Diceros bicornis minor: one gene and its partners. The protein of the gene in region 2 purifies or fractionates together with the protein of the main gene of each other region. This does not show direct contact. Links are inferred from orthologs where the notes say so. Each region holds a gene or a part of one and is shown on either strand. Other genes may lie near its edges.

Region 1 (7,858 bases), on a different chromosome or scaffold from region 2:
CCCACTACCATCAAACATAAATAAACAATGACAAAATTAACAAAATCCATACAATTCACCAGAAAAATAGTGACAAATTACATTTCCATGATTTTAGTGCCCGAAAACATCCATAAAAGCAGTGTAAGTAATTTACGGAGGATATTCCAATCTTTACTGCAAAACTGATCAATGCGTTTTTTGCAGCAATATCTTATTCAAGAACACTCAAGACCTGGGCTTACGGAATAAACTACAAAGGCCAGTTATAGGAGTATCTTAAGTATTCAAAGATGACAAGACATTAAAAAAAAAGGTATCAGAATCCAGTAAGAGATCCCTCTTTTGGCCGACTCATCCCTAATTTGGGAATCAGCCAGGCAGACGTCACAAGCCACAGGCCTTCTGGATCCACTACGTCAGCCATTCCATCTCGAGCTAACGTCTGCACAGTTCACTCACAGATCTCCCCGGTCCGAGAATTCAATGCTGCAATCACATTTTTCTCTGTGGCCACAACCAACTTCTTGGATCCAGGGGAAAACTCCAAGGAGGCAAACTTGAGCTTCCCAACATACTGCTGTCTCCTGGGGAGAGAGAACAGGGAAATAAATGTAAGGGGCCCAAACCATCACTGCAGAAAATACTTTGGAAAAAGGCAACTGCACAAATACATGAGGTTATCACCATCATACCTATCTTAGAGCGTATGAGAAATGTTTGTTAACAAACAGATCTGACCAAAAGCAAGATTTCTATGCAATGTAGTCAGAAGCAAAGGGAACAAGAAGAGAGAATACCCCCTAGCAGATAAGAAACGCGACAGTCTTCCTTCTAAATGCAAGCACATATTTTGCTCGAGATAAGTGACACCCAAGAGAGCACGTGGCCTAAATCCCACTAGAACAAACATTACAGTCCTCTCTGTATTCGATAATAGTGGGACTAGACACTCACGTTACATGCGACAGAAGAGACACAAACCCTGTTGTCAACGAGCATACAATCCAACTTTCCCTTCTACTTTCACGACCTCTGGAGAAAAAATGATGCCAATTTCCCAACAAAACTCCAGAGACCGGGTCAGGCCTTTTGTTCTCTACAGCCTTTTCTAGCTCACACCATGTTCAGGATCCATTTGACTCATTGTTCATATTTTCCTTGGAATATATCCCATCACTTTCAACACTCCTACCTAAGCATAAATGGAACATACTAGCTTTGCATGGATACTATCAAATACACAGGAGGTGCTTGCACATTCTTTTTAATTAAGAAGTACGGCAACCACTAGCTAATTAAACACACGTGACGTTTACACTGAATTTCTCTTGTTGTGATGTTGTTTGCTCTACTTTTTCAAAAAAAGAAAAGACTAAGCCCGGTAGAGAGACAGGCTTATATGACATTTGACAGTTTCTACCTGCATTTTCACATACTTTTTCGTTGTACGCACTGAACAATCTGAAGTATGTAGAACAAACATTATTACTCTCATTTTACAGGTAAGTAAATCAATGTCTACTGACATCAACTAATCTCTGTCAGAACTAGACCACAAAACTAAGACCTTCTGACTCTAAATCCCATGCTCTCTTTTAAACTAAGTGCTGCCTTTATCTGGACTATAAAAGTAATGCCTGCTCGCTGTAGAAAATGTGAAAAATACATAAAAGTATAAAAAATAAAATGAAAAATGCCTAAAATACCACGACCATAAACTTTTTAATGTTTTGGTGTATTTCCTTCTATTTATTTCTCAATTTGTAAATTGCATATACCTAATATTCTGTTAAATTGGAATATCACATATTGTGCATACGTGTAATATATACATATCATACTACACATTTTCCCACATCATTAAAAACGTGACTTACGTTGCATTTGTTACACCGTCTTATATCACATACTTATATATCTGCCCCGCTAGACTGAGCTCCTTCCCATCTCTGTATCCACAGCATCTGAACATCTGTCCCACCACAGGCACTCAACAAATACATCAATCAATTTGTCTGAGACACAAAAGACTTCAGAGAGGAGAAGATAGCTGAGCTGGGCTCTGAAGGATCGTGTTCCCTGATTAGTAATAATGAGCAACATTTACTGACTGCACTCAAGGAGCCAGGTATTGTGCTAAGTAATTTAAAGGAATTATCTCATTCATCCTTACAGCTACTGTAGGAAGTAATGAGCTATTTGTAAACCCATCTTACAGATAAAGAACCAGGCACAGAGTGGTTAAGTCTCTTCCCAAGATCACACAACCTTTACGTCACAAAATTGAGATTCAAACAAAAGCAAGCCAACTCCGGGGACTTAAGGAAGGGATGGGTGAGTGAGTGAGTGGGTGAATGAGTGAGTGAATGAATGAATGGCACTTAGGGGCTGATGTGAGTATTGGACGGCCCTGTCCTGAGCTGGAAGGGAGGAGAAAGAGGACTCAGTTTAGGACTCAATAAAACCCAAGCCCCTGTTCACACGCCCAAGAGATGCCAATTCGAGGAGGAATGAGAGTTCACTGCAGGCTGTCGACTTGTGACACACAGTGGATCAGAAACCTGACGGCCACAGAAGCGGGGCCCGGCGGGGGAGGAGGGAACAGTGACCTCTGACCAGAACCCCGAGCGTGTCTGAACAGCAGGGCCGGCTGCATCGGCTTGCGACCTGTATAGTTACACAAGGACCGGCTTAGAAGCGCCCCCAACACTTGGTTGCATGCTGTGCTGTCGCCACCTTAAAACTCTTAATTTTTGAACGAGAGATCCCACATTTTCATTCTGCACTGGGCTCCGCAAGTTACGCAGCCAATTCTGCCACATGATAACGATAACCTCCCTCCCTTTAGCCGAGAGAAGACAGGTGCTGGGAAAATAGCCACATATTTCCCGAAGAGGCCCCACACGTACGCACCAATCAAACTTGCCCACTTGGTCTTCGTAGACCGCGGCCGCAGGCACAAGCAGGGCAGCCCAGAACCAGAACCGGGAAGCCGCCGCCGCCGCCATGATGGGAGGCCGGTCCCGCCCGCCGCCGGCCCGGCATGCACCGCGCCGCAGGCCCCGCCTCCGCGGAACCATAGAGTTGGGACGGCACGCGAAGCCCCGGGTGGGGCGCTCAGGACTCGGAGGACCCCGGACGGGCGAGAAATCGCCCTGGAGACGCGGGGAAGAGCGCAGGCGGTGGCCAGCAGGAGGAGGGGGCCGTAGCGCAGATTGAGTCAGGCACGCGCGAGGGCAGCCCCCGAGGGCCATCCCAGAGTTCCCCGCGCCGCCGGGGTCCTAACAGGCAGCACCGTCTTCCGCCGCACGTGCCTGCAACGAGATGCCCAAATCTAAGCGCGATAAGAAAGGTGGGCGAAGGGGGCTTTGGGACTCGGTGGGGAGTGCCGCCGGCTGGCTGTCAGCTGCGGTGGGGTGCTTCGAGAGGACGGAATGGGACGCCGGGACCTCGGCGAGGAGCTCCGCGGGCTCGCTGCGAGCTCGGATGGGGGCGTCGGAGCGGCGGGAGCATCGGAGAGGGCTGGAGCGTGGTGGGGTCAAGGGATCGGAGAGCTCCTTAAGAGCTCTTCCAAGGCCGACTGGGCCGACAAACAGCCTCTGAACACGCAGGCTGCGCCCCATCTCGCTTTGGCCCACCCCTCCCACCTCAATTTCACTCTCTGAGCTCTGCGCTCCCGCCACCCTGGCCGCCTTTCCTTTCGTTCAGCACAGGCTTATTCCCTGCCCTTTGTTACTTGCAGTTCTCTCTGTCTGGCGTGCCTTTATGCTCTGACCTTCACATGGCTGGTTCTTTCTCGGTTCTCAGTTCATAGGGCACCTTCTAAGAAACCATTCCTGACCATCTTTACAATTTTGGCTTCTCCCACCCTGGCTCTCCAGCACATTCACTCAACGAATATTTAGGGGGCCTGGAACTCTCTAGGCGTTGGAGGATATAGCAGTTACAACAAGAAAGGCCTAGAGCACTCATCGCACTTAACGTTTTAGTCATGGGATACATATCTCCCCCAAATACCAAAAGTCTCATCAAGTCAGACAGTCGTGAGTCCCATGGAGAAAAAGTAACAGAAAGAGGTGATATTATTTTGTGTAACGTAGCCAGAAAAGGTCTCTCTGATGAGGTGACAAATGAACAGAAACCTGAAGAAAGAGAATAAGCAACCCATGGAGTTACCTTCGGGGAATGGTGTTCCAAGTCTAGGTCTGCCGCTTACAGCGCTCCAAGAGCAGGAACAAGCCCTGCCCCCACACTTCAGTAGGGGTTTTTAGGTTAGCCTAAGAGGGCTGAGGAGCACCTAGTTTGTCTAAGCAACAGAAAATATATCAAAGGGTCTCCAGGCTCAGGAATGCTAGAGAGTAGGCACTCTGAGGACCCCAGGAATAGCCTTGTGTGCCAGTAGTGGCTGCATCAGCCTTGCTGCCCTTCCTCAGAGTGGCTCGGTCCAGCTGAGCAGCCAGGGAGAAGAAAAGGAGTCTCCAGGACATCCAGATTTGTTTTTCATCATCTCCTTTTTCTTCTTTGTATTAGTTTCCTTAACCAAAACTGCCAAGAAAGGCTTGGAACTGAAACAGAACCTGATCGAAGAGGTAATAGCTCATTCTTTTTATTTTTTCGGATCTTGTGTTTGGTTTATAAAGGTGGGTGTAGGGCTGTTTGTCAGGGAAACATACTGTTAAAAAAAAAACAAAAACAGCTGCCGATGCAGGCCTTTTTCCACCAGTAGCAGCACCACCAATCATCCCACAGCAATGATTTCCAGCTTTCACTGAGCTCTTACTCTATGCCCTGCTCGGTGCTGAGCATTTCGTATGTGTTGTTCACTCCATCCTCACCACATCCCTCTGGGTAGATGCGAGGTGACGTTATCACTGTTATGCAGTTGGGTAGCTGAAGCTCACAGAGATTTGCTAGCCTGTTCCATGTCAAAAAGCTGGGGAGTTACCAGTTGTGGGCAAATGCACCAGCCCGCTGTCTGCACTGCTTCAGGGCTGCAGGCTGGCTGACAGCAGCATCTCCTCCCGCACAGATTGTGTCTTTGAGACCACCTCATCGTGGCTGCAGCCAGCAACGTGGGGGTGGAGAAGGGCCGTTGAGCTGCCTCCCCTTATGAGTAAATAAGGAGGCTTTCTATGCTTCCAGCTAGCAGGAGCCTTCCTAGCGTAGCTGAGTATTTTTAGGTTGTCAGCAGTTAATGGACAAGGCAAAGAGAAGTGGTGGATTCCACTGTTGGCCACAGATAAGTCAGGAATGTGGGAAGACTGGGATCTTGACCCATGGCTCAGCTTCCCCTGCCCTTTGAGGTCATGTCTGCTTGGCCTCAGGGGAGCCCCTATCCTTAGGGATCCTGGCTTCAGTAATGGAGGTGAGGAGGAGACAACTAGATTAGAGGCCTGCAACTCTCAACTTCCACAGTTGTAGAATCTAGAGCAGATTCTTTCCCATCTGAGGCCAGAGTATTGCCCAACTCGTGCTGCCCCTTGAACTCCAGAGCCCCATGAATTGTCCCACAGCTTCGGAAATGTGTGGACACGTACAAGTACCTTTTCATCTTCTCCGTGGCCAACATGAGGAACAACAAGCTGAAGGACATCCGGAACGCCTGGAAGCACAGCCGGTGAGCAGGCAGTGGGAAGAGTGGGGAAGGGGCCAGGCTGCTCTCAAAGCACAGGGGCAAGTATTGACCCTTGGGTACCTGGTACCTTAATAAGGGCAAAGGGCCACTCCCACTGAAGGGCGCTTTTTCAGCATTAAAGCTGGTCTTGCACTGAGCTTCTTGAGGGACAGGACTTGATAGTTGCTTAAGGGATGTCTGATCAGTGATCCCTCCAGGAGAAGGGGCTCCCTTCACCCTGGGGTCTGATCCTTTTAGGAACATCTCGTCAGTTTTAGAATGTCAATACAGTCACGTGCTGTCCAACAATGTTTCAGTCAACAACGGACCACATACATAACAGTAGTCCCATAAGATTAGTACCACATAGCTTAGATGCGAGGTCGATTATGCCATCTAGGTGTGTGTAAGAACACTGATATCCGCACAATGATGAGATCGCCTAACGATGCGTGTCTTAGAACCTATCCCCATGGCTGATGTGCTCCAGGAGGCACACAATGACCCGAGAGCAGGCTGCATGAGCCCTTTGGCGAGTACCTGTCCTTGGGCTGGATTTGTGACAGTGCAGGTGATGACTCCGGTTGTCTCTTGCTGCACCAGCTCTGGTTCAGACCATGGCACGTGCCTCGTCTGCACTTCCAGCCAGGGCAGCACGGGGGGCGGGTTCACATAACACTCACACTGGGTTGGTAGACAAAATATTGTGAATGCCAGGTCTGTGGCAGGAAAATAATGAAAGAGATCCTGGGCTGGGGACAGAGCGGGTAGGGCCACATGGAAGAAGTGGGAGCCTTTGGCCACCCCTCCCGCTACAGAACAGCCTAGGCCTGGGCTTGGGCCCCCGCGGACTAGAGCTGGCAAGCACTTAACTGAGGGGAGGGCTGGGTAGGGCACCCCCTTCACGGAGGCCTCCTTTTCTCTGTAGGATGTTCTTTGGCAAAAACAAAGTGATGATGGTGGCCTTGGGTCGAAGCCCATCTGACGAGTACAAAGACAACCTGCACCAGGTGAGGCTGGCCCTCTCCGGAGGGGCCGGGGCCAGGCCGCTGCTCACAACACACTCTCCGGCCATCAGGCCCGGCCGGGATCAGGGAGGGCGAGGCCTGGCTTAAAGCTCCGGTTCTCCTTTAACCTCCAGACACAGCGAGTAGTGCCCCTCCCAGCTGGGACAACCAGAAATGTCTCCGATGTTGCCAGAGGTCCCCTGAGGGGAGGGGGGTGCAAAATTGTCCCCAGGTGAGACCCACTGCTCTAATGTGACCGAGCTGATCCTCTGTTTGTTTCCTAGGTCAGCAAGAAGTTGAGGGGTGAAGTTGGTCTCCTTTTCACCAATCGCACTAAGGAGGAAGTGAACGAGTAAGTGTTTTTGAGGAGTGGTAAGGAAGAGAAAGATTGGTGAGGACTCTAGGGAAGGAATAATCTAGGGGCTTTGTACAGTGGAGGCATCAAGGAAAAACTGCTTCCTAGAACCCAGTTTACTGAGTCGTTATTCTCCAGCACGGTGCTCCAGGCTGGCTGCCAGCCAGCAGCTGAGATGGACGGGGAGGGGAGGCGAGACCCACGGGGAGCCTGATTGTAGGTGGGCGGGTGGGCCAGTCAGGAACCTGCCCTCCTTCCACTTCTCTTTCCCTTCAGGTGGTTCACCAAATACACAGAGATGGACTACGCCCGAGCTGGGAACAAAGCAGCGTTCACCGTGAGCCTGGACCCAGGGCCCCTGGAGCAGTTCCCCCACTCCATGGAGCCACAGCTGAGGCAGCTGGGCCTGCCCACTGCCCTCAGGAGAGGTACGGGGAAGTCCCTGGAGCTGAAAGGTCCCAGCTTCGAGGTCAAGAGCACAGGCCCCCAAGCCCGACGGGCCCTCCTCCCCGTCCTGGCTGAGTGGGTTTTCCCAGCCTCCATTCTCTCATTTGAAGATGGGGCCGAGAGTGCCCGCCTCATAGCTGGGGGGAAGTGGACAGCGACTTAGAGCCAGAACACAGCACTGCAGGACAATGAGGGAGGTGGTCACTGCCCTGAAAACCCTCCCAGGCAGCTGGACACGTCTGACTGAGCTGCCCTGGCATGTGCGGGGGGCCAGCCAGCTTGCTCCTAGCTCTGGGCAGTGGGCAGGAAGCTCTGTCAGCAGGAACTGCTCAGGGGCCCCCTTCTTTGCAGGCGTGGTGACCCTGCTGTCCGACTACGAGGTGTGCAAAGAGGGCGACGTGCTGACCCCAGAGCAGGCCCGCATCCTGGTGAGTCCGCCCCCTCTGGCGGCTG
Region 2 (6,994 bases):
AACAACACTATATATACTTCTTAGGGTGGTTGTATAACAAAATGCACGTAAAGTGCTTATGACAGTGCCTGGCTTACAGTACATGCTCAACATAAGCAGTGATTTCTACTATTACTAGGTATTGCCCAGAGACACCATTTAAGTTTTAATGGTTCTAAAACTCTGAGTTTTGGGCCGGCCCCGTGGCTTAGCAGTTAAGTGCACGCGCTCCGCTGCTGGTGGCCCGGATTCGGATCCCGGGCGCGCACCAACGCATTGCTTCTCCGGCCACGCTGAGGCCGCATCCCACAAACAGCAACTAGAAGGATGTGCAGCTATGACATACAACTATCTACCGGGGCTTTGGGGGAAAAAAATAAAATAAATAAAATTTAAAACTCTGAATTTTAAGGCAAATAAGAAATTTTAAGTCTTACATTGGAAAGGAACCAGTTAAAAGGAATTTGACTCCAGTCACAGACAAACCATTTTACTACTACTTTTTGCACCTTCTGATTTTACTACATGTGCATCTAGTCAAAAAATAAAAGCACCTAAAGAGGAAAACAAGTAAAGACCACTGTAAATGCTTAGCCATTTAAAAATAGACATATACTGCCTTGTCTACAGTTTTGAATTTTGTTTCTCATTGACAGGAACATTAGAATTGGTTTTTCCATAGCACTTTCTTTTTTGCTATAAACTAAGTAAGTTTAAGATGTGAATACTCAAAACATATTGCTGAAGATTCTCAAAAATTCTTTAAAAAACAAAATTCTCCAAATAATTTTCACAGCTCACAGTTAACATTAATTTAAAAGCAAATCTGCTGCAGGTAACAAAGCATTCATCAGCACTTTCCTGACAAAGTTCTAGAGTAGGCTATATAGGCTACAACTACGTTCAAGAACTTTTATTATTTCCTAGGAGTTTTTATGAGCTGCCAATTCTTCTATTTGCACAGTTCATTACACTATTCAAAGTAGTATCATGTTCGCCATCTTATTTGTCCCTCTCAATAGCCCCCTAATAGTAAAGGATCCAGGAGACTTCTCATTTCCATTTTAAAGATGTGGAAACCAAGGTGGTTCATAAACTAGTTACCACACTGGGCCTGGAATTCAAGCCTGTTGAGCCTACATTTATGCTTACCAACTACCACTTCATTCCCTTAAGCTATCTCGCAGGGCAAAGTGAACTCTGTAACTAAAAGGATGCAATAGCCTGACTGCCAAAACTATAGTTACTTCTGTCAAAATGTTTACCCCTTGTGGTCCTTGAAGATAATGTACTAGTTGAACTGACAAGTTAAGATAGTAATGTGGGGAGGGATGCTGACACCCATTTTCAGATAGGTCAGAAAATGTGTCTGTTGTGTGATACATTCACTCCAGTACACAGTTCACTCCTGCCTTCTCATGATCCTGTTACCTGGCTTGTTTGCATGTGCACCCTGGCTGGTGCAAAGGAGAACTCTCCCACAGTTCTTTACCTCTGCTCTAAATATAATTATAGCAAATGCACAACATGGCATTGATTCTATTTATGACCCTCAAATATGGCTGGAAAAAGATGATACAGAATGCTTTTAAAGATTAATAGAATTCTTCCCTTAAAAAAACCCCCAAAACTCTACTTATTAAAAAACTCAGCAAAATATTCCATTTCCTAAATTAGAGGTAAAGAGACTTAACTGTGGTTCACCTTTGTCCTCCCAAGCTTTTAATGTTCAGCTCAGTTTAACTTCCCTCAACCAGCAATCACTTGTGTCATGCCCAACAGTTAATCCACTAGGTCCAGTTTCTTCCTCCCATCACCATAAATGTGACTTCAGGTCCTGCAAAATAGGACTTACCCAACTCAAAGAGTAGGATGTCAGTGTAGTAGACAAACTATTCAAACTACAATTATTTATTGCAATCATTATTTATGGAGCAGTTAATATGTATCAGATTTCCCTATCCTATTTTATACACATTTTAATTTAATTCTAACAACTCCATCAGCTATTATTATATCCATTACTTAGGGAGAACTGGGGCACAAAGGGTAAGTAAATTGTCCAAGTTCACATAGCAACAAATGACCTACTGAAGGACTTGAACAAGGACCTTCACTTTAACCACTACACCAAAACTGTCTAGCTCTCAACCATAACCCCAACGGGATCATAAAATTAACCGCATGACCTTGGGCCAGTCATATCAGAGCTCTGGGCCTCAGTTTCCTCCACTATAAAACGACCTACCCACAGTGAGCTTTTCGGTGCTTTCCTGCTTTTAATGTCCGGTGAATTTCCAACTGGATTACTCCCCACTCCCGATTAGGTGTAAATGTTAGGACGTAAGTGTTCCAACCACTGCGTGTTCTAGTACATTCTCCATACTCTTCAGGGTGCTAGGGTCCAGTCTTCGCTTTGCGGTTTATTTTCAGATATTGAACCTGTAATGCTAATCCTAAATACTCTCTCTCGGTCCGATATCACCTTTCCCCAACCCTAGGGGTACCGACTAGGCCCAAGCCCACTCCAGACCTTTACCCGGTTACTCCAGCGCACCTCGCGGCTTCCCAGGCAACCAGCAAAAGGCCTACGAAAGCCCTAGAAGCAAAGCCATGGGACGAAGTTAGCTTTCCCAGAGGTCAAGAGACGCTCCAGGGCACCTGCCACGCCTCCCGACGCCGGCGCGCGGCCTCGGCCCGGCGCCCCAACCGAAGTGGCCCAGGTTCGGCCTCGAGCTCACGGCCGGCGCCTCCGCCGGGGCCTGGGCCCTGGAAACCCAGCCCGACCCCTTGGCCAGGCCACGCCCGGCCCCCCTGGCCCCTCGGCCGCGACGCCGCGCACCCAGGCCCCAGGGTCCTCAGAGACCGAGGACGCGCGCAGGCCTCCCGTCTCACCTCGAGCCTCCGGGAACCGCCGGCGGCACCCGCTCCTTCTCCCGCCCGCACACCTGGCCCCGCGCCGCAACCGAGACAGCGGCAGACGCGGCCCGACCGTCACGTGCCGCAGATGCAAGAGGCCTCGGCTACCGCTGCCGCCGCGCGAGCGAGCCTCAGTGCGCTAAGCCCGGCCCTGCGTCCGCCCCTCGCTCCTGAGTAGTTACGGCCGGCACCAAATCCCGCCCCCCCGCGCAAGCTCCGAGATCCGGTTGGTCGGCGCGGCCTTCGCTCTATGCACCTTCCCGTACGCCCCCTAGGGCTCTTCTTCGTGGAGTGTGGGGATTGGCTAGGAGTGAGGCAGGAAGTGGCTCTTGGTTGGGCAGGAAGAAAGGGGCGGGCCGCAGCGGAATAGGGAACTGCGGGCGCGCGCGCCCTGGGGTGGGCCGGTCCACGGGACGTTCCCGCGCCTGGTTGCCGTGGTGCCCTAGTGGGCGCTGTGCCTGGCGTTTTGTCCCATCGTGTGTGGTCCGGACCCTGCTGGTGCCTGGACCCGGGCCCCGGTCCCCGGGCCGGGCATCCCGTTCCCTTCGCTGAGGGGGCAAATGGCAGCCGGCAGAAGAGGTGGGAGGTCGGGAGGGCCTTCGGGAAGGGCCAGTTCCCCGATTCTGCTAGTGCGGGGCCCGGACGGAAGCCGCAGCGGCTCTGCGGGCCGGCCTGGAGTCGTGCACAGCGCTGTGTAACAAGGCGCCGGCGTTCCTGCAGAGTCATCGCTCTGGGCCCAGCAGACTGCAGCGGCCTCATTACCCAACATAAAACCCAGTCTAGAATACTATAATCCAAGGTTATTTCAACTTTCAATTTGTGATGTTTCCTGAAGTTAGATTAGACATAAGGGCACAGACACCCGACAGGATTAGGAGAAAACAGTGGTGCGATGGAAAGGTTTCAAACACACTACAATTTTTGTAACCCACTTTTAGCACATCTTCAGTTTTCAATATGCTTAGAACCTCAGAAAATGGAAGTGGCCTAGGTTTTCCTAGACGTTTATAGGTCCTGGTCTCGGTCTGTCATTTGGTTACCCGAAGTCTGAATACTAGGGTGGAAAAAACTAGAACCAGTAGGTGTATCACCTATCCTAGTGTCCATGTAAATAATCCATAATCTATAATTCAAAATTGGGGTGAGTTTATTATGAGCCAACTTTTGAGGACCATAGCCTGGGCCTTCCTTCCCCAAGGAAGGAAGGCCACCAAAGAAGTGGGGTATACAGAGCGTTATATACTGTCAAAGAACATGTATCACATATGATGGCAAAGTCCCTTTTACAATAGCCACAAGATTGCCCTGCCAGAATAGCCCTGGCGGAATAGCTGTTGGACACAGTGGGGAGCAGGTCTGCTGTCTCAATCTGGGCAGTCACAGGATGAGTGCAGCAATCAAATCCTAGCCTAGTGAGAAATACTTATCCTTAAGGAAATGCCAATGTGGGGGAAGTTGCATTCTTATGTTAAGGGCATTTACTCTTCTCTTTGGGACATGGTAAAGTGGATACACAATGCATGTTTAAAGGCGACAGGCCTTGTTGGAAAAACAAACTCAGGCAGAACTAGTTTTACCCCAAATGGCTTCCTCATATGCTCTGATATATCCTATTGCTTGCCATTTATTTATCACTAGGATCCAGCTTTATTCCCTCCCACTACCTGGAAGGGGAAAAGAGAGGTCAGAGATTGGTGTTTGCATGAGTTTAGTATTCTCCAACTCTCAACCCCCAAATTTGTGTAAGAGAATTTTGCTTTCCTGTTTACCTGGGGAAGTGGATATTCAAGGCAGAATAATATTCTGGATGCCACATGTTCTGGACAATGAGCTTAAAAGGTAGTTACAGAAACTGTGTGAGCAAAAGAGCTCCTCCAGCAAAGGTAAATGCTAAAAGATGGTGATCCTGAAGAAAATTTAATGGGGTTTTGAGCTGGAAGGAACTGCTTTTGTCTAGAATGGACAGGTAAAGAGGTAAGACTTAAGCTGGACCTAGTAGGATATGCAGGATTTCTATAGGTGGAGAGTTGGAGGCAGGCTTCTTTACACGAGGGACCAGCGTATACAAAGGCAGGAAAATGGGTATCGTATGTCTGGGGACACCGCACACACGAGTGTTTTGGCTGGAGAAAGGTGTTCGTGAAAGTGATGGGAAGTCAGCTCCAGAGTCGGGTTAGGAGCAGGCCTTCAAGGCCTGGCCAAAGAGTTTGTAGGGAAATAGTTTAGATTTTGGATTTAGGTCATGATTTAGATATTTAGGAAGCATTATGTTAATATTATTCCAGGGAGTTCTGAAAGTTCTGAGAGAGACTACCAGCTATGAGGCCAGTTAGGAAGCTACTTCTTGCAGTTGATTCAAGGGCAGGATTAGGGAATGGCAGGTTGTATAGAAACAAAAGCATTAAATGTTGATACTGAAGAATGGACTCAGGCTGGGGAAAGAGAGGAACCAAAGCAGACACTCAGAGTATGAGCCTGGGTGACAGGAGGTGAAGTGTAGAGTAGCTTTTTTGTAGACAAACTTCCGCCTTGCCTTTCCTTTTTTTGGTGGGGGGGAAGATCAGCCCTGAGCTAACATCCATGCTAATCCTCCTCTTTTTGCTGAGGAAGACCAGCTCTGAGCTAACATCTATTGCCAATCCTCCTCCTTTTTTTTTTCCCCAAAGCCCCAGTAGATAGTTGTATGTCATAGTTGCACATCCTTCCAGTTGCTGTACGTGGGACGTGGCCTTAGCATGGCCAGAGAAGCGGTGTGTCGGTGCACACCCACGATCCGAACCCAGGCCGCCAGCAGCGGAGTGCGCGTACTCAACCGCTAAGCCATGGGGCCGGCCCCTGCCTTGCCTTTTGAAGCATCTTTTGGGCAATTTTCTTTCTCAGGTGCTTGATTGTCAGCTCTGTGAAATTCCTCCACTTTTTCTCAAGCTTTTGCCTTTTTCTTCTCTTCTACATCCTCTATGGTTCCAGCTGGAAAAGGGTATGAGATCTTTTCTTGATAATTCAAAGGGTACTTTGAGGTGTTAGAGTATTTCATTAAAAGAAATAATCATTTTATAGTTCTCAGATGTAGAAGGTATGGGAGATTGGGCTGAATGTATTTTAACCTTATGATATAATCTGTAAGATGGTTTTCAAAATAAACTGTTTATATCCATTTTAAAATGCACATACGTTTTGCCCAGCAATTCCACCCCTGGGAATATATCTAGATATATAGATAGATAAGATAGATAGATACAATAGATAGATGGAATATATCCACATACTGTACTTGTATTTAAAAGTATACACAATGATGTGCATTGCAGCATTGTCTGTAGTACCCCAATCCTAGAGACAACCTAACCTATCATCATAGAGAACTGGTTAAATAGAATATAGGTCATCCATGTAATGGTTCTGTCCTGCTGGAGAGCATGCAGTGAGCACATATATGTACTGATATAAAATGATTGCCAAGATTTAGTGTTATGTGAAAAAGCACTGAGTAATGTTTCCTTTCATGTTTCAAAGGGAGATATATTTTCATAAATATGAACTTGGACAAACAAGCTTACTGGAAAGATGCAGGAGAACTGCTAAGAGTGATTGATGCTGAAGAGGGGGCCTGAAACCCTGGAAGTGAGAAGGAGCCTTTTTAATAACATGTGTATATTATTTTTTCAATAAAGGATCAAATAAATTTCTGCTTTTATACTTAATTTTCCAAAAAAAGATAAAATATATATTTAAAACCACTGTGAACAAAATTGTTGACCAATTTGTCTTTCCTATCCAGCTACTTCTTATAACAACTTGCCCCTCCCACCTTCCTGAAAAGCCACCCTCATCCTTGCTCATCCTCACCTTCCTTTGCTTAAAGGAGAAAGTGGGCACCCAGCCAGAGGGAGCACCCCACATACCCATCCAGTCCTTTCTTACTGATTAGGTCAGTAACGGTCATTTCTCTGTACCCACACTCATCTGGCATTGTCAAATTGAGGTATGTAATTACGTTAACTGAAGTTTCTTTTATTACAGTGAAGTTAACATTTCTCACATTCATTAACCATATATATTTCTTCCTTTGTGAACTGTCTATTCACGTCATTTGTCC
Region 3 (7,531 bases), on a different chromosome or scaffold from region 2:
GATTTGAAGGGTCATCTTCTGAAAGCCCACTAGCTAAGCTTCCCAAACCCCAAGAGGACAAGTGGCCCTTCCAGAGTTAGGAGGGAAAAGAAGGGCCAGGATGCTTGCAGGTCAGGAGAGATCAAGGAAGACTGCTGGGAATCCAGGGACAGGATCTATCAGAGGCACCCTTCAGCTCCAAGAGCCAAAGAACAGAGGGCCAGCGGGACTGGAGAGAGGTGCCCCCAGATGGGAGCCAGCCAGGCCTTGTCACTACAGTCAGTGTAAACAGTGGGGCCAGACAGGCCAGTTTGAGACATCAAACACTGGTGGGGGGAGCTTTCTGGAGACGATATATGCATTACTGAGTCCCCCGGCCATGGGCTCCTCAGACGCTCTCAGAGGAGCTGGCTGGGGTGTGCAGACCTTATTTAGTGGAGGAACAGCCCCAAGCCCAGACTCTGGACACCATGCCGGAAGGAAGCAGGTGAGAAAGGTGGTACAACATAAGGTGCAGAGGGGACAAGGCAAGGCGAGCCGGCACAGGGAGCCTCCAGACCTAACGCCAGGCTCCAAGCAAACCTGAAGGGAAGCCAGGGAGCCTCCGGGGCAAGTGGCCTGAACAAGGAAAGGCCCCAGAGAGTGGGAGGCAGAGAAGGGCTCCAATAGCCAGGAAGTGGGTCATGTGCATCTTTGTGTTCCCGGGGCTGAGTGTGCCTCCTGCCCATGGAGGCCACAGTAAACCTTCACTAGATGAGCTAATATACTCATTCCACGTGGATTTATTCTACGGCTCCCGGGCACTAAGCAACCAGTGAACAAGAAAAGGTCGCCACCCTCATGAAGTTTACAATCCAAGGGGGAGAGAGAGCCGCAAACCAGGAAGAGCATGGCTAAGATAAGTACAGACAAGACAACAGGCGGTGGGTGAGGGGTGCGCGGTGGGGTGCGGGGTGGGGGGGTGGGGGTGCCAGGGAAGCTCTCCCGGGCTGTGACGTTTAAGCTCAGCTCCCAGGGATGACAAAGCTCTTCACGCAAAGATCTCCAGGCAGAGGGAAGAACAAGGGCCCATTCAGGAGCTGCCCGGAGCCCGCATCAGCCTAAGGGCTCCCTGCCCAGTTGTCCCTTCAATTCTCCAGAGCAGAAATCATCTTTCTAGACACAAACCTCCTCACTCCCTGGCTCCAAACCTTCAGGAGACTCCTGGGTCGTGACGACAGACCCTAGCTCCTCCAGGAGGCGGAAGGGCCTCCGTAAACTGCGTCCTTCCTCCCCTGCCTCAGTCTTCACGGTCCCGCACCGCCACACAGGCCACGCCTGGGGCCTCTGCTCTGTTTCCTCTACCTGGGGCCCTCCTGCCCCCTTGACCTGCCCACCTCAATTGCTGCTCTAAGGCACACCTCACGTGCCAGGCCTCCCAGGCCACCTCACCCACCCACCCACTCGCTGCATGCACCCACTACACACGCTGCACCGGGACCACCTACTATGTGTCACTCTTCCCGATAAGTCTGGACACTCATTAAGGGTGACAACTGGGTCTTATCCATCTCAGTATAACCAGCGCCCAGCAAAGAGCCTGATACGTGATAAGATCCCAATGTGTCTTGAATGAATGAACTCACCAGGTCTTTTTTTTTCTGTTTTTCTTTCTACCAAGCCACCAAGCGCAGCAGTGGTTCACACCCTTGGGTAGATGAGACCCCTGGGAAGATCTTACAACATACCATTGGGGGGAGGGGGACCAATTAAATGAGACTCTCTAGAGGTGTGACCCAGGAAAAGATATTTTTTAAGTTTCCCAGATGTTGAAAATCCCTGATTTACATCCATGTTCCTCAAAGCCAAGTGATAACCAGCCTCATCTGAAAAACTTAAAAAATACACATTCTGCACATTGGGTGTCTGCTGTGTGAGGGTCTCTGTGAAGACCTGAAATCTGTATTTATGACAGTCCCCAGGCAATCCAAATATCAGGCCTAGGAGGTGCTGTCACAGCTGCAGAAACAGCGGGACAGGTTAATAGTGATTGAGCATAGAGTACTTATTAGACCTGTGCTAAATGCTTTATGTACAGAGCCTGAACCAAACCTCCATCAACCCATTTTACAGATGGGAAAACTGAGCGTTCTTTCATTGGTCCCAGGTCACAGAGTAAGTGATAGGAGAAAGGGTCTGCTGGTGTTTCCAAAACTTTCCCAGAAACTATTGTGAAGCCATACTTTATATATATATACAACACACACACACACATATATATATATACACACAGAGCTATATTAGAACATCTGTTAAAAATACATACTCCTAGGTCCCCACCCCAGACCCTTAAGGAGGGAGCTGGACAACCGCATTTTTGTTCTGATTTTTTGGTGGGAGGGGATAAGGCTGCTTTGCTATCACTGCACCGTGCAGCGCCGCCTCCTGAACAGCAGAGGGCGCGCCAGAGCGCTGCCAGGCGACCCCGGCTTGACCCACGGCCCAGAGGGGCCGGGACCCTGGGAGCCTTCCCTCTGAAGCTCTTTAACCATCACCGCCGCTTCGCCCGCCCTCGCCAGCCTGGAGCGCAGGCCCGCGCCCCTCCCCGCGCAAGTGGCGGCCGACGGCAGCGCAAGGTCCAGGCACGTGAGGCCAGGTTCCAGGTGCGTTCCAGGCCCGGGGGCCCCCCTGCCGCCCCCTTACTTGGCATAATAAACCCAGCCGTCCTTGGTGGTTCTCTGCTCCCAGCCCGGGGGCAGCTCGTCCTCGCTGTCCGTGTCGTCCAGGCCCGCGTACTGCAGGGCTGCCATGGCGGCAAAGCTCGGACGCTCGCTCGCTCGCCCGCCCGCTGCCGGGTCTCGGCGCCTAGGAACTCACTCCCGCTTCAACCGAGCGCCGCGCGTCGGGATCCAAACGCTCGCGCCTGCGCACTACGCCGCCCAGAGCCGCTCAGCCCACTCGGTAGCCGTAATCCAGTCTCCGGAGTTTCACAGCTTCCAGCGTAAAAAGGGGCGGGGCCTGAGAAAGACGGCGGTGAAAGCGCCGAGGAGGCCGCACTGCCACTCGGCTGGAAGTAAAACCCGGGGAACGTTGTGTGACTCTGCAGATGGAGCTGAGCTTCGTCAAGCTCCCCGCCTCAGGGAAGGGGCGTGGGCATCCAGTCACGGTCCTGGACTCCGCCTGTTGCTGGGCGACCTGTAATCACTTCCGCATTGTTCTGCCCAATCAGGCAGGCGCTCCAGCAACGGGGCATCCTGGGAAATGTGGTCTAGGCCCCGCCCGACCAGACCGTGGAGCAGAGACGGGAAATGCTGATACTGGTTTTATGGGCTCTAGTCTCTGCTTCTTTTAGGGCATTATGAATAGTGAACGTTTCTGCTCAAACACCTTGCGGAGCTTCCCACCACGAAGGATGATTCCCAAACTTTGTTGTGCTTGGAAACACAACGTTATAAAACGTGCAGAACGTTAAAAATGCAAATTCCCGCACGTTCTGATGACCCAGTCTTGAAGAAGTTTCTCCTAGCCTCAGCATAGTTCTGTTGATGATAAAGGACTAACGTTTATAGAGCGCTTAATTCTGGGCCAGGAATTCCTAGACTCTCTCTTTCAAGTACTGGGCACCTCTGTGAAGTGTGGAATTAGAGGAAAGCAGAGCAGGGGAATAACTGGCAGTTGAGACCCTATTGCTGTATTACAGTTGTTTATGTCTGCGTGCTCCCGACTAAACTGACAGAGAACCACATCTATGCTTCTTTCCGTTTTTTTTATTTTTATTTATTTTTTTGTGAGGAAGATCAGCCCTGAGCTAACATCCATGCCAATCCTCTTTTTGCTGAGGAAGACTGGCCCTGGGCTAACATCCATGCCCATCTTCCTCCACTTTTTGTGGGACGCTGCCACAGCATGGCTTGGCAAGTGGTGCGTCATTGTGTGCTGGGGATCCCAAACCAGGTGGCCAGCAATAGAGCACGCGCACTTAACCGCTATGCCAGGAGGCAGGCCCTATGCTTCTTTCTATGGCTAGCAGTTAGTAAAATGCCTAGACTTACAAGTTTATTGAATGAAGTGAATAAACAAATGAGTGCATGAATGTGATTCCTTAGGTTTGGCCCTCTATAAATCAACGTAGTTCAAAACAAAATTCCCGGTTTGCAAGGTGGCCTCTCTTAAGTCCTCTTGGAGAACCTACAATTATCCTATAAACATCCTGTGTCAAAAACCAGAAGCCTATCTTCAACTTGGCCTTGCCTAAGAAGTTTTCCAGAACATTCCCTGCTTGGAGCTTGCTCCCCCAGCTCAGCATTACAGGGAAATCTACTGACGGTGATTTCTGCTGCCTAGGTCTCAGAAGAATGCAAGCCTCCATCAGCAACATTACATATTTTAAAAGGTTGGGGATGGGGGGCAATGCTGCTTTTTGTCTTCTTCAAGTCCTGAAATTTATATTGCTTTGGGATTCCCACTCTGCATGCTCTTTTTTTGTGTGTGTGTGTGAGGAAGATCAGCCCTGAGCTAACATCCATGCTAATCCTCCTCTTTTTGCTGAGGAAGACTGGCTCTGAGCTAACATCTATTGCCAATCCTCCTCCTTTTTCTTTTTTTCCCCCCAAAGCCCCAGTAGATAGTTGTATGTCATAGTTCCACATCCTTCTAGTTGCTGTATGTGGGACGCGGCCTCAGCGTGGCCAGAGAAGCAATGCGTAGGTGTGCGCCGGGGATCTGAACCCCTGGCCGCCAGTTGCGGAGCATGTGCACTTAACTGGTAAGCCATGGGGCCGCCCCCCATTCTGCATGCTCTTGAGGGGAGACACTCACTTTCCTTTGAAGTTGCCCAACCAAAAGCTAGCTTAACAAAAGCATGTTTTAGTTAACAGGCCCATTATCCCACCTCAGACCTTTGGTATTATCACTCTTTCCAAATCCATGTGCATTTAAATAAGCTACCATTAATTTGCTGCTCTTCTGCTCACCTTGGCTTAATCCTTTGCCCGTCACCAAAGCCAACTTATTCCTTTGATATGAATAGGAAATTAGGTCACGAAGTCCCCTAATGGTGAGGAGGAGGATGAATGGAGTCAAACTGATTAGCCTCAGTTTCTCCGATCATTATCCGTAGCCTCTGCTCGGCTTCTCAAGGATTGACTGCTTAGATTTATCTTGGGTTGCCCTCACCAGAGCCTCTACTGGCACCTGTTGCCTGTGACTTGGCATCAGGCCACAGGTAGTGATATAGTATGGTGTCTTCCTCAGACTGGGTAGTGGTCTCCTTGAAAGAATTCTCAACTTCTGGGTCAGCCCTCTGCTATTCCTACCACTTTCACAATTCCCTCCAGGGCTTCTCAACCTCAGCACTCCTGACATCTGGGGCCAGATAATTCTTTGTTGAAGGGGACTGTCCCGTGCGTTGTAGGATGTCTAGCAGCATCTCTGGCCTCTACCTACTAGATGCCAGTAATGTCCCCCTCCCCCAGCTGTAACAACCAAAAATGTCTCCAGATGTTGCCAGTTCTGCCCCTACCTGAGAACCACTGATCCACAATGACAGTGAGTCAGGTGATTACTAACTCATGAATCAAACACTGATATGGATTTAATTAAGGCAGTGAAGAGCCCGTTTCTGGCCAGAGATTCACAAGGTGGTACTCAGACCCTGCTGGTTCTGATCACCAAGTTCTCTAAGGCTGTCTGAGGGCACTGCCTCTCCAATTCCTAGTCCCTCCGCAGGTGAGAGACATGGGCTGACAGAAGTCTGGCTGGGTGGCCCAGACACAAATAATGGTCCCAAATGGTTATGATGACCTCATTTTATTCCTCTCTCCCTGCATCTTATCCGTGGCCTCTATCAGAAGGTTAAAGACAGGAGACAAACAGGTATTTGGGGATTCATGAGAGTAGGCATGCCAGATTCTAGGATTCATAGTCTTTTGGCTTCATTAAAACTGACACAGTTTTAGTTTTGCTTATTCGATTGCAAGCAACAGAGGTTCATTCAAAAGTTTATGACCAGGGTGCACCTGAGCTAAATTAGGATGTTATCGGGACCTGAGAGAGCCCAAGGACAGCCCATTTCTTTGTCTCTGGTAGGTTTCCTGTCTCTTGCTCCTTCCTCTTTGCTCACATGCTATGTTGTTCTGCTCTCCCCTTACTGGCTTCCTCTAGTCGTAGTTTCTGCTTCTCTTGGACTTGAGCTTGCTCGTGGCTTTGACTTTGGTCTGACAAGGATATATCAAAGGGAGAGCCCTGTTTAGCTTATAAGATTATTATGGGTTTGAGGAGCCTTAAATTTGGCAATGAGCCAGGGTCCTCGACAGGTAACCCTAAGAAAACCTAAAGAATGGTTTGTTTTTGTAAAGCCAGCTGAATCACATTGTGATTAGTGAGGAAGTTAAAATAAAACATCTCAATGTGTGGTAATACAACCACACAGCAGATGGCCCTGTCTGCCCACGATTTTAAAGGCTAAAGCCAATTCCTGAGAAGGATTTCTGCATTTGTTCTTACTGATTGCTCACTTCTGCAATAACTGACGTTATGATGACAAGATTTGATCAGCTTTTGCTGAAAGCAGTTTGGCCTTACACGTGCAGCGGGCACAAGTTTGAGTGTAACGTTCCTGGAGCCACGTTTCTTTAGTTCATTGTCGTTACTGCAATGATGGTCATTTCCCTCCCCTACATGCGCACAAACACGCCAACAATTCTGCACAACCTGCTTCAACTTAAGTCATCATTCTTTGGGAAATTAAGCCTCATGTTTTGATGCCAAACTCAATATGCTAATGAGACCTGGGAAGCTTCTGTCTCTTCTAATAAACTTCTCATGGGAGGTAACCAATAAGGAAGAATATTGAACAGGAGTCGAGGCAAAACTCTTTCTGGTCAATGCGGCCTTACATAGGGAGGTACGTTTGTATTTTACTTATTCATTCAAACACACAAATGAAAAAAAATTATGCTATGTCTCTGAGAGAAACCAAGAAAAACGAAACACACCCTGTAGCCAGAAATCAATTAGGATAAAACCAACAGACACACAAAGAACTCTGGCTTGAGGGTTCTAAAAGACGTTCGAACTAAGACCTATAGGTCTGCAGAGATGGAGAGAGTTTTGGGGAGGGTTTCCTGTAATTTATCTTTGGAACCCAATTCAGCTAATGTCACTTACAAGCTGTGTGTGACAGTGGCCAAGTCCCTTAACTTTCCTTATTCCATTATTATCAGTCCACTTTTTACAGATGAGGAAGCTGGAGCACAAGGAATCTAAGTAATTTGCCCAAGGTCACTGGGTGAGCAAGAGCCAGCAGGAGCTGAGATTAGAATCCAAATAAGGGCATTAGCCCCAGATTCCTGCTCTCAGCCAACTGCCCTGTGAGCTGCCTTTCCAGGTCAGGGGGTCCCCAGTGCTGGTCCTCAGATGGATGCCAAGAGGTTTTCACTCCTCCATGGGAAAGTGAGAAAAATAAGATAAAAGAAATGAATTTTTCATAATGCTAAATATGTTCCACTTAAATATATTACTATCCTTTTATTTTCTATGAGATGACATCTGTCCTTTTATTTTCTGGCGATCT
Region 4 (7,878 bases), on a different chromosome or scaffold from region 2:
GTCCTTCTCTTGGTCCCATGCTGGCCCCATCCTGCACCGGGCGGTCTGCTCACAAGCGCCTTGGGACTGGCGGAGCCTGAGCCCTCCAGGGGGGGAGTGCCGTCCGAGGCCACGAGGGGGCAGTGGAGAGCATGGTGGCCTGGCGCTGGGGAGTTGGAGTGGCCGTGGCTGCCGCCCGCACATGTCCTGCTATTGTTAGGGTTCGGGCTCCCTGTCAGCAGCTGGGTGGGGCAGCACTGTCACCTCTCTGACCTTGGCGTCCTGTGGTTGCGCCCTCATGGTCACGGTCATGGTTTGGGAGAAGGGGCCTGGCCCCTTGCGCGTCTGCCAGTGTTGTTTTGCTAGTATGGGTCTCGTAATATTTATTCTTTGTAAGATTTGTTCCAGGCTGGGTACCTTTATGAACTTTTTGGGGCTGTTGTTATTGTCATCTCTGTAAATCTTACGGTAACCCTGTGAGATGGCAGGTGGGGCAGCCCACTCTGTAGAGGAGGAAATGGAGGCTCAGAGAGCTTGGGTAACTTGTCCAGGGCCACACAGCTAGGAAGTAGGTGAGTCTTTTTGACCTCAGAGCCTGGGGAGTGTGAGCACAGCTGAGGAGGCCCTGGAGGCCTGTTCGTGAGGGAGCCGCTGCCCTGTGGCACCACCTGTGAGGGCCCGGCCGCGGGGAGCCCCTCTGTGTTGGGATTGCTGCTGAAGAAGGGCAGCGAGCTTCACCAGAGCCGGCGCCGGCTCAGTCACGGACCGTTCCTCAGTGAGCAGTGCCCCAGAGCCTGGGAGGAGGCCCGGCAGCGCGAGTTCTGGCCTCATGGGGTCACCGGAGCCGGGCGGGCGTGTCTGCGGGCCTCACAGAGGCTTCCCTGGGGTGAGGCCCCGGCCTGTGACAGGGACTGCCCTGGTAGCTCCCGAGTGTGGGGAAGGGGAGCCAGGGAGGGGCTGAGGGGGCCGGCCCATGTGCCTCTCGCAGGCGTCCACCGAGCACGGCTCCTGGCCAGGCTCTGTTCTGGGGGCCAGAAACGACTGAGAACAGGCCAGTCCCCCCTTGGGAGTGACGTCCAGTGAGAGGCACTGTGTAAGTCGATGGTCGGGAAGGGCCGCTGAGGGGTCATCCGAAGGCTGGAGGAGGTGTGGGAGGGGCCTGTGGGGTCTGGGGAGAGCGGTCTAGGCAGTGGGAGCAGCATGTGCAAAGGCCCTGAGTGTCTCCTGCGGTTGCATAACCGCTCTGGCTTTCTCGTCTGCTGGACAGGGACTGTCCCGGGAGCCTCGCCTCCCTGGGGCTCTGGGCACCGGCGCTGCTCGGAGCAGGTGCTAGAACGAGGGCGCCCTGTCCTGCTGCCGCTCCCTCCGTCTGCAGCATCTGTGCTTCCACGGAGACAGCGAAGACCTGGGCCCCGCTCGGCAGTGGCTCCGGGTGCTCCCCCGGGCTGGGGACCGCTGCAGCCTGACCCTGCCCCTCCTGCAGGGTGGGCTTGGGCCCGCCCCAGTCCCCCCCTTCCCGCCCTGACCTCGTGCTGCCACGAGCTGCAGCTGGCTGGGCCCGAACCCGGGCCTCTGGGTGAGAACCCTCCCATCGCAGAGGCACCGCCTTGTCCTCGTCCTCTGTGTCCCCTGTGCCTGAGGCTGCAGCGCCACACCCCTGCCTGCAGGACCTCTGGCCAGCGACCCTACAGGCCCCACTTCATGCGGCGGTTCAACAGATCGCTCCCCAGTCCCCAGCCCTTCCCTCCAGGGGGCAGGAGGGCTGTCCCTGCTCCTTCCCTCGGCGCCTCCCGGGGTGGGCCGGGGCTGCCGCCGCCCTTGTGTGCTCAGGGCCCTACCTGGGGCCCAGCTCAGCAGCCGCTGCACCTCCCTCCTGGGCCCTGAGGGCGCGTGCGCCGCAAGCACAGGGCGTGGGGTGACAGCGGGCAGGGAGGGTGCAGTGGAGGGGAACCCCAGGGACTGAAGACTGGGGAGCACACACGGGGTCCCCCACGTTAGTCCCTCAGTTGTGGGGGTGGGGGAGGGACCTCTGCAGCTCCCTGCCCTGGGACTTTTTTTTAATGAATGATTGGGGCCTGTTTATTAGACCCCCATTTAAAACAACTTATTGATGTGAAATTCACATGATGTAAAATTAACCCTTTAAAAGTGAATAGCTCAGCAGCATGTGGTACATTCACAGTATTTTGCCACCACCACCTCTGTCTAGTTCCAGAACATTCCATCACCCCAAAAGAAGACCAGGTCCTCGTTAGCCACTCTCTCCCACCCCCAGCCCCTGGCAACCACCCATTTGCTTTCTGTCTCTCTGGATTTACCTTTTCTGGACATTTCACATAAATACGTGTCTGGCTTCTTTCACCTAGCGTAATTTTCTTTCCCCACCTCACGTATCTTTCACTTAACTTTTTATTTTGAAATAATTATAGAGGCACAGGGAATTGCAAAAATCATATGGAGAGACCTGGGTACTCCCCATAGGCCTTTCAGACATCTCTGGGGTTTGGGGGATTTGGGGGCAGGAAATGGAAGTGAGGACCCATTCTCCCTCGGCAGCCCTGAGCTGGGGCACCCCCACCCCGAGGGCGGGCTTACCTCTGGGAGGGCGCCGGCCGCTCCGCTCCTCTCCTGTCTTCTCCTCTCTTCTCCTCTCCTCTCCTCTCCCTCCTCCGGCCTCGGGCGGGCCTGGGTGCAGGGCCCCTCTCCCGGCTGCCCTCCTGCCGCCCTGAGTCCTCTCCCGGCGGCTGGTCGGGGCCCCCGACGGCGCTGCTCTCCTCTGGGCTCTGGTGCGGTGTCCCGGCAGGGCAGAGGGTAGGGTTTCAGCCCCCCCGCAGCTGGCCACCGCGGAGAGGGGCTGGTTGTATTTTAAGCTGCTGAGTGGTTCAGCAGGAACTCGGGGGCCTGCTCTCCTGGTCGGCTGGTGCTGTCCTCCTGCGGGCCCGTGGGCTCCGAGGGCGTGGGCGCTGCCCGAGGGGACCCAGGAACTATTAGTATACCTGCAGCCACGTGGCAGGCCCTGTGCCCGCCTGGGACCTGCTGTCCCAGCCCTTCCTGGCACATTCCTCGTGTGTCCCTCCCCCTCCCACGAGTCCTCTTGGTGTGGCCAGAACTCCGGGCAGTATGGCCAGCTCTCCCTTTCTGGCTCCTCGTTTGGCTTTGTCATCCCTGTGGCTCGGAGGGTTCAGTCGCCTGCCTCCCAGGCCACATGGCCGGTCAGGGCCCACAGCTGGCGGCGGACGCTCTCTCGCCGGTAACAGTGGGCAGCATCGGCTAGGACTTCTCAGGTGCCGGGCCGTGTCCTGCCCTCCCGTCCACGAATGTGGGGCGGGCGCAGCAGAGACTGGCCCCAGCGGGAGGGTGAGGGTCTGCCCCCGGCCCTGCCCTGCGCTTTGTCGCAGCGCCACGGCCTCCTCAGCCCGTCCTCAGGGCCCGAGGCCTTGGGGCACTTGCACCTGTCAGGCACCACGCCGGTGCCTCGCTCGCACTGTCTCACGGAACCCGACTGCCCTGGGGTCACACGCCTCCCCGCACTGTCCCTGGCTGAGGCTCAGAGAGAAGTGACTGCGTGGCGAGGCTGGCTTCGGGGAGCCCCCCTGTGCTCCCAGCACCCCCTCCTCTCCCACTGTCCCTGGGCGTGTGTGAGGGGAGCCCTTCCCTTCGGGGGGGCTCTGGGCGCCGGGGAAGTGGGCCTGCGCTCAGAGAGCCCTGGTGGGCCCAGCCCTGGTTTTCGTGTCCTGCTCCTCCTCCCCATGCTGCCGCTGACCGAGGGCCCCCCAGGGGCTCTGGGCGTGGGGAGCGTCCTCAGTACCTGCCGGCCAGAGGCTAGCTTGGGGTCAGACCCAGCCTTGCCTGCCACAGCCCCGTGTCTGATAGGATCCAGGCCAAGCCCTGCACGGGGCACTCGGGCCTGCTGTGATCCACCCACGCCCCTCCTCTGACCTGCTTGGGGGCTCCCTCCCTCCCAGCACTGCCCCTCTGCACCCCCACTGTCTGGCCCCTGCCTGGGTGCTCAGGTAGAGAGGCTGGGCAGGCTCCTCTCTCAGGGCCTGGCGCTGGCCTGGCCCGTGGACCCAGGAGGTGCAGGGAGGCCCAGGCTGTGTGCTCTGGGCTTTGAGGAGCTCAGGGTCTGGATGAGGGTGCTGTGTTGGGCTGACACTCGGGAGGATGGCCCTGAAGGTGGCCTGGAGCAAGGCGTGGGTGAGAAATGGGTGGAGAGGGAGGTCGGGAGCAAGTTGCCGAGGCCTCACCAGCTAAGGCGGGCGTGTCTGCTGGAAACTTGCGGGTTCCCGAGCCTTTCCACACTTAGAGTCTCTGTGCACCAGCAACTCCGGAATCTGTCACCTCCCTGGAAACACAAATGCACGAGGAAAGTAATCCCGAGTGGCTTTTACAGCTCAGGAGGGGAAACGGATGCTCTATCTCACAGGTTCTCAGAATAGCTGGGATTTCTCCAAGCCCAGTGAGCTCTGCGGGCCTGAGCTGGACACTCACCAGCTCACCCTCCTCCTGGCACTGGGCCCCCACCCGTGGGCAGCGGGGCTGGGAGGTGCCTTCACCCCCATCTCTGGGCATCTCCCTGTCCCCGGGGCTGTTGGGGGCCGTGTCCACTGGAAAGCCTCACTTTCAGGGCCATCCGGCCCTGGGGGGCTGCCCCAGGCCCCCAGTGGTCTGTGTGTGGTCCTGGGGCCCGGTCTGGGGCAGTTTTATATTTAGCCGTGGCTGCTGGGCCACTGGAGTGGCGTCTGCAGAGCGCCAGGGCAGGCGCGGGCTTTTCTCCAGCACCGCGGCAGAATGTGATTGCGCCAGCCCGGCCCAGAGCCGCTCGCGTGGGGCGGTCCGTGGTGGGGGCTGACGGCCGGCAGCTGGGGCGCTGGCCACGGCCGGCAGAGCGGGGTAGCATGGATCTGAGCATGAGCTTGGTGGCCCGGGAGGCCAGCCAGGGCCTCGGCCCCGGCGTCAATGGCCTCCCCCGGCCCACGCCCCCTAAGGCGGCCAAGAAGCCTAAAAAGGCTGTTCTCTTCTTCGAGGTGGAGATTCTGGACGCGAAGACGCGAGAGAAGCTGTGCTTCCTGGACAAGGTGGGACCGTGGCGCTGGCTGCGCTGGGCCCGGGACCCACTCTTGCTGGGGCTCCTGGCCCCGAGGGAGAGGGGAGTCCCTCCACCCTGGGTCATGACTCCCCACCCCTGCCTCTCAGGGTGCATGAGGGGTACTGTCCCTGCCCAGCCAGTCGGCCCCCAGGGTAGAGTGGGCAGTCCTGGCCCTGGGTGTGGCCGGGAGCTGGCTTCCTCGGGGCCTGGGAAGGAGGAGGCGTCCTGAGACCTGCCCCTGCCGAGGCCAGGCCAGGGGAAGGGGCTTGTTCCGTCCCAGGGGAGGCCTGGCCTGGACAGAGGGCCTTTACTCTGGGGCAGCTGTGGGTGGAGGGGAGAGGCAGAGATGCAGGTCCCGCTTCCCGTGCTCAAACCGTCTCCCAGCCAGGCGGGGCGTCCTGGCTGCCTGGTAAAACCAGGCCCTCAGGCCCACGGCTGTCCCATTCTGGCACGGGCCTTGCTGCTCCTCTCTGCCATGCAGGTGGGGGCCTGGACCCCCACACCCCCCTCCTGTAGCAGCTGCCCTGACCCCAGTCCATGCCCTCCAGGAGGGATCCTGGATCCTGGTGTGGACTCCCCCCAGGGCTGAGGTCCCTGTGGCCTGTGCTTCCCCCAGGTGGAGCCCCAGGCCACCATTGCTGAGATCAAGAACCTTTTCACCAAGAGCCGTAAGTCCAGGGCCCAGCCCACTGCCTCCTGCGACCTCTCTGAGCAGGGGCCTCTGGGTGGAACCGGTCCTGCCCGCCTCTTGCCCAGGGCCTGCAGAGATGGCCCCAGTGTGGCCCGGCTTCCCTGGGACGGGTGCCACCGTGTGGCCATCGGCAGGAATGCCCTTGCTGGGCTTTGGGAAGGGCAGCACCTGCCTTTGTCCTGCTCGTCTGGGCTGTGTCCGGGAGCCACACAGGCCTCACAGGCCTTGTCTTCTGAGGGGCCGGGAGCAGCTGGGGGTCCCTGGGCCCCGCCAGGCTGTGCACGGTGATGCTCCGCTCTCCCCGCAGATCCGCAGTGGTACCCTGCCCGCCAGTCCCTCCGCCTGGACCCCAGTGAGTACAGCTGTCCCTCCACCGCCGCTGGGCCCCCCCCCGGGGGCAGTGGGCGGAGGCCTGGACGCCCCTGAACCCTGGCCTGCCTCTCCACAGAGGGCAAGTCCCTGAAGGACGAGGATGTCCTGCAGAAGCTGCCTGTGGGCACCACGGCCACACTTTACTTCCGGGACCTGGGGGCCCAGATCAGCTGGGTGACGGTGAGTCCCACCCCCGCCCTGGCCTCCTCTGCCATCAGCCACATCAGGGTAACTCCCTGCTCCCCTGCCCCCAGGTCTTCCTGACAGAGTACGCGGGGCCCCTTTTCATCTACCTGCTCTTCTACTTCCGGGTGCCCTTCATCTACGGCCACAGATACGACTTCACGTCCAGCAGGCACACGGTGGTGCAGTGAGTGGGGCCGGGCGGGAGGGCGGCGGCGGCGGGGGGCCTGCTGGACCTCCCCGCTGAGCCGGCTCCCCCTACAGCCTGGCCTGCATCTGCCACTCATTCCACTACGTCAAGCGCCTGTTGGAGACGCTCTTCGTGCACCGCTTCTCCCACGGCACCATGCCCTTGCGCAACATCTTCAAGGTGAGCGCCCGCCCGCCCCCGCCCCCGCCCCCCGCGGCCCTCTGTTGGACCCCAGACACGCCCCCCCAACCCCGCGCACCCGCGGGCCCTCCGCTGGACCTCAGGCCTCCACCTGGCCCTGTTCCCTTTCAGAACTGCACTTACTACTGGGGCTTCGCCGCCTGGATGGCCTATTACATCAACCACCCTCTCTACACGCCCCCCAGTAAGTGGCCTCCGACCCCGCTCACCCCCGCCCCCGCGGGCCTCCCTTCCCCGCCACCGCCTCTCCCTCACGGGCCTCCCCTCCCCTGTGCTTCCCCTTCAGCCTATGGAGCTCAGCAGGTTAAACTAGCGCTCGCCATCTTTGTGGTAAGCGGGCTGGGCCAGATGACGGGTGGGGGGCGTCTGGGGGCTCCCGGCTGACGCTGCTCCTCCGACAGATCTGCCAACTTGGCAACTTCTCCATCCACATGGCCCTGCGCGACCTGCGGCCAGCTGGTGAGTGGCCTGGTGGGGTGGGGGGGTCGGGCTGGGCAGGCCGCGCTGTGGGGGGGCGGGTCTCACCCCTCGCATCCTGCCCGCCAGGGTCCAAGACCAGGAAGATTCCCTACCCCACCAAGAACCCCTTCACGTGGCTCTTCCTGCTGGTGTCCTGCCCCAACTACACCTACGAGGTGAGGGTCTGCCAGCCCTTCCGCCGGCCCCGGGGTCCCCTGTGGAGAGCCCGCCTCTGGTAGGGCACCTGGCTCCGCTGCTGCTTTTGCGCTCTGACCTTGGAGGATCTGGCGATGCAGAGTCTGCAGCTCCCTGGGGGTTGGGGGGCGTCAGGCTCGGCGTACAGCTGTTGGCGGCCGAGGGGCAGCTTCATCACGGACCCCCTTATTCGAGGTCCCTCTAGCACTGGCCTTCGGTTCCCACCCCCACACGGAAAGTAAGGGTTGGGGGAGGCGGCCCAGGGGTGGGCGGGGCCTCGGGAACAGGGGCGCCGCCCGCCCGCCCTCACCCGCGCTCTGCCCGCAGGTGGGGTCCTGGATCGGCTTTGCTATCATGACCCAGTGTCTCCCAGGTGAGCTGGCTGCCCGCCCCCGACGCCCTGCCCGGCTGGCTGCGCGGCCCCCCTGACACCCGCTCTGCCCCACAGTGGCCCTCTTCTCCCTGGTGGGCTTCACGCAGATGACCATCTGGGCCAAGGGCAAGCACTGCAGCTACCTG

What was found.
Region 1: the proteins of CANX (region 2) and EMC1 purify together in Homo sapiens (affinity purification with mass spectrometry; 4 studies listed by BioGRID and IntAct, with this or other methods). This does not show direct contact. The link is inferred for Diceros bicornis minor from reciprocal best matches to the Homo sapiens genes CANX and EMC1.
Region 3: the proteins of CANX (region 2) and WWOX purify together in Homo sapiens (affinity purification with mass spectrometry; 3 studies listed by BioGRID and IntAct, with this or other methods). This does not show direct contact. The link is inferred for Diceros bicornis minor from reciprocal best matches to the Homo sapiens genes CANX and WWOX.
Region 4: the proteins of CANX (region 2) and TECR purify together in Homo sapiens (affinity purification with mass spectrometry; 3 studies listed by BioGRID and IntAct, with this or other methods). This does not show direct contact. The link is inferred for Diceros bicornis minor from reciprocal best matches to the Homo sapiens genes CANX and TECR.

The regions. Positions count from the first base shown.
Region 1 is NC_080752.1:36,356,564-36,364,421, forward strand, and holds the start of EMC1 (ER membrane protein complex subunit 1), read right to left. Parts: upstream 3,006-7,858; 5' UTR 2,991-3,005; coding exon 2,896-2,990; intron 567-2,895; coding exon 442-566; intron 1-441. Other genes in the region: MRTO4 (mRNA turnover protein 4 homolog), read left to right, coding at 3,307-3,334, 4,513-4,571, 5,496-5,599, 6,525-6,606, 6,888-6,955, 7,235-7,386, 7,757-7,833. UniProt on the Homo sapiens protein: Part of the endoplasmic reticulum membrane protein complex (EMC) that enables the energy-independent insertion into endoplasmic reticulum membranes of newly synthesized membrane proteins.
Region 2 is NC_080740.1:92,651,386-92,658,379, reverse strand, and holds the start of CANX (calnexin), read right to left. Parts: upstream 3,011-6,994; 5' UTR 2,875-3,010; intron 2,579-2,874; 5' UTR 2,513-2,578; intron 1,817-2,512; exon of another isoform or gene 1,684-1,816; intron 1-1,683. UniProt on the Homo sapiens protein: Calcium-binding protein that interacts with newly synthesized monoglucosylated glycoproteins in the endoplasmic reticulum. It may act in assisting protein assembly and/or in the retention within the ER of unassembled protein subunits.
Region 3 is NC_080771.1:28,084,163-28,091,693, reverse strand, and holds the start of WWOX (WW domain-containing oxidoreductase), read right to left. Parts: upstream 3,008-7,531; 5' UTR 2,769-3,007; coding exon 2,662-2,768; intron 1-2,661. UniProt on the Homo sapiens protein: Putative oxidoreductase. Acts as a tumor suppressor and plays a role in apoptosis. Required for normal bone development. May function synergistically with p53/TP53 to control genotoxic stress-induced cell death.
Region 4 is NC_080769.1:3,349,488-3,357,365, reverse strand, and holds the start of TECR (very-long-chain enoyl-CoA reductase), read left to right. Parts: upstream 1-4,862; 5' UTR 4,863-4,877; coding exon 4,878-5,057; intron 5,058-5,684; coding exon 5,685-5,736; intron 5,737-6,066; coding exon 6,067-6,111; intron 6,112-6,207; coding exon 6,208-6,311; intron 6,312-6,385; coding exon 6,386-6,501; intron 6,502-6,578; coding exon 6,579-6,684; intron 6,685-6,816; coding exon 6,817-6,889; intron 6,890-6,991; coding exon 6,992-7,035; intron 7,036-7,106; coding exon 7,107-7,164; intron 7,165-7,251; coding exon 7,252-7,340; intron 7,341-7,686; coding exon 7,687-7,732; intron 7,733-7,807; coding exon 7,808-7,878. UniProt on the Homo sapiens protein: Involved in both the production of very long-chain fatty acids for sphingolipid synthesis and the degradation of the sphingosine moiety in sphingolipids through the sphingosine 1-phosphate metabolic pathway.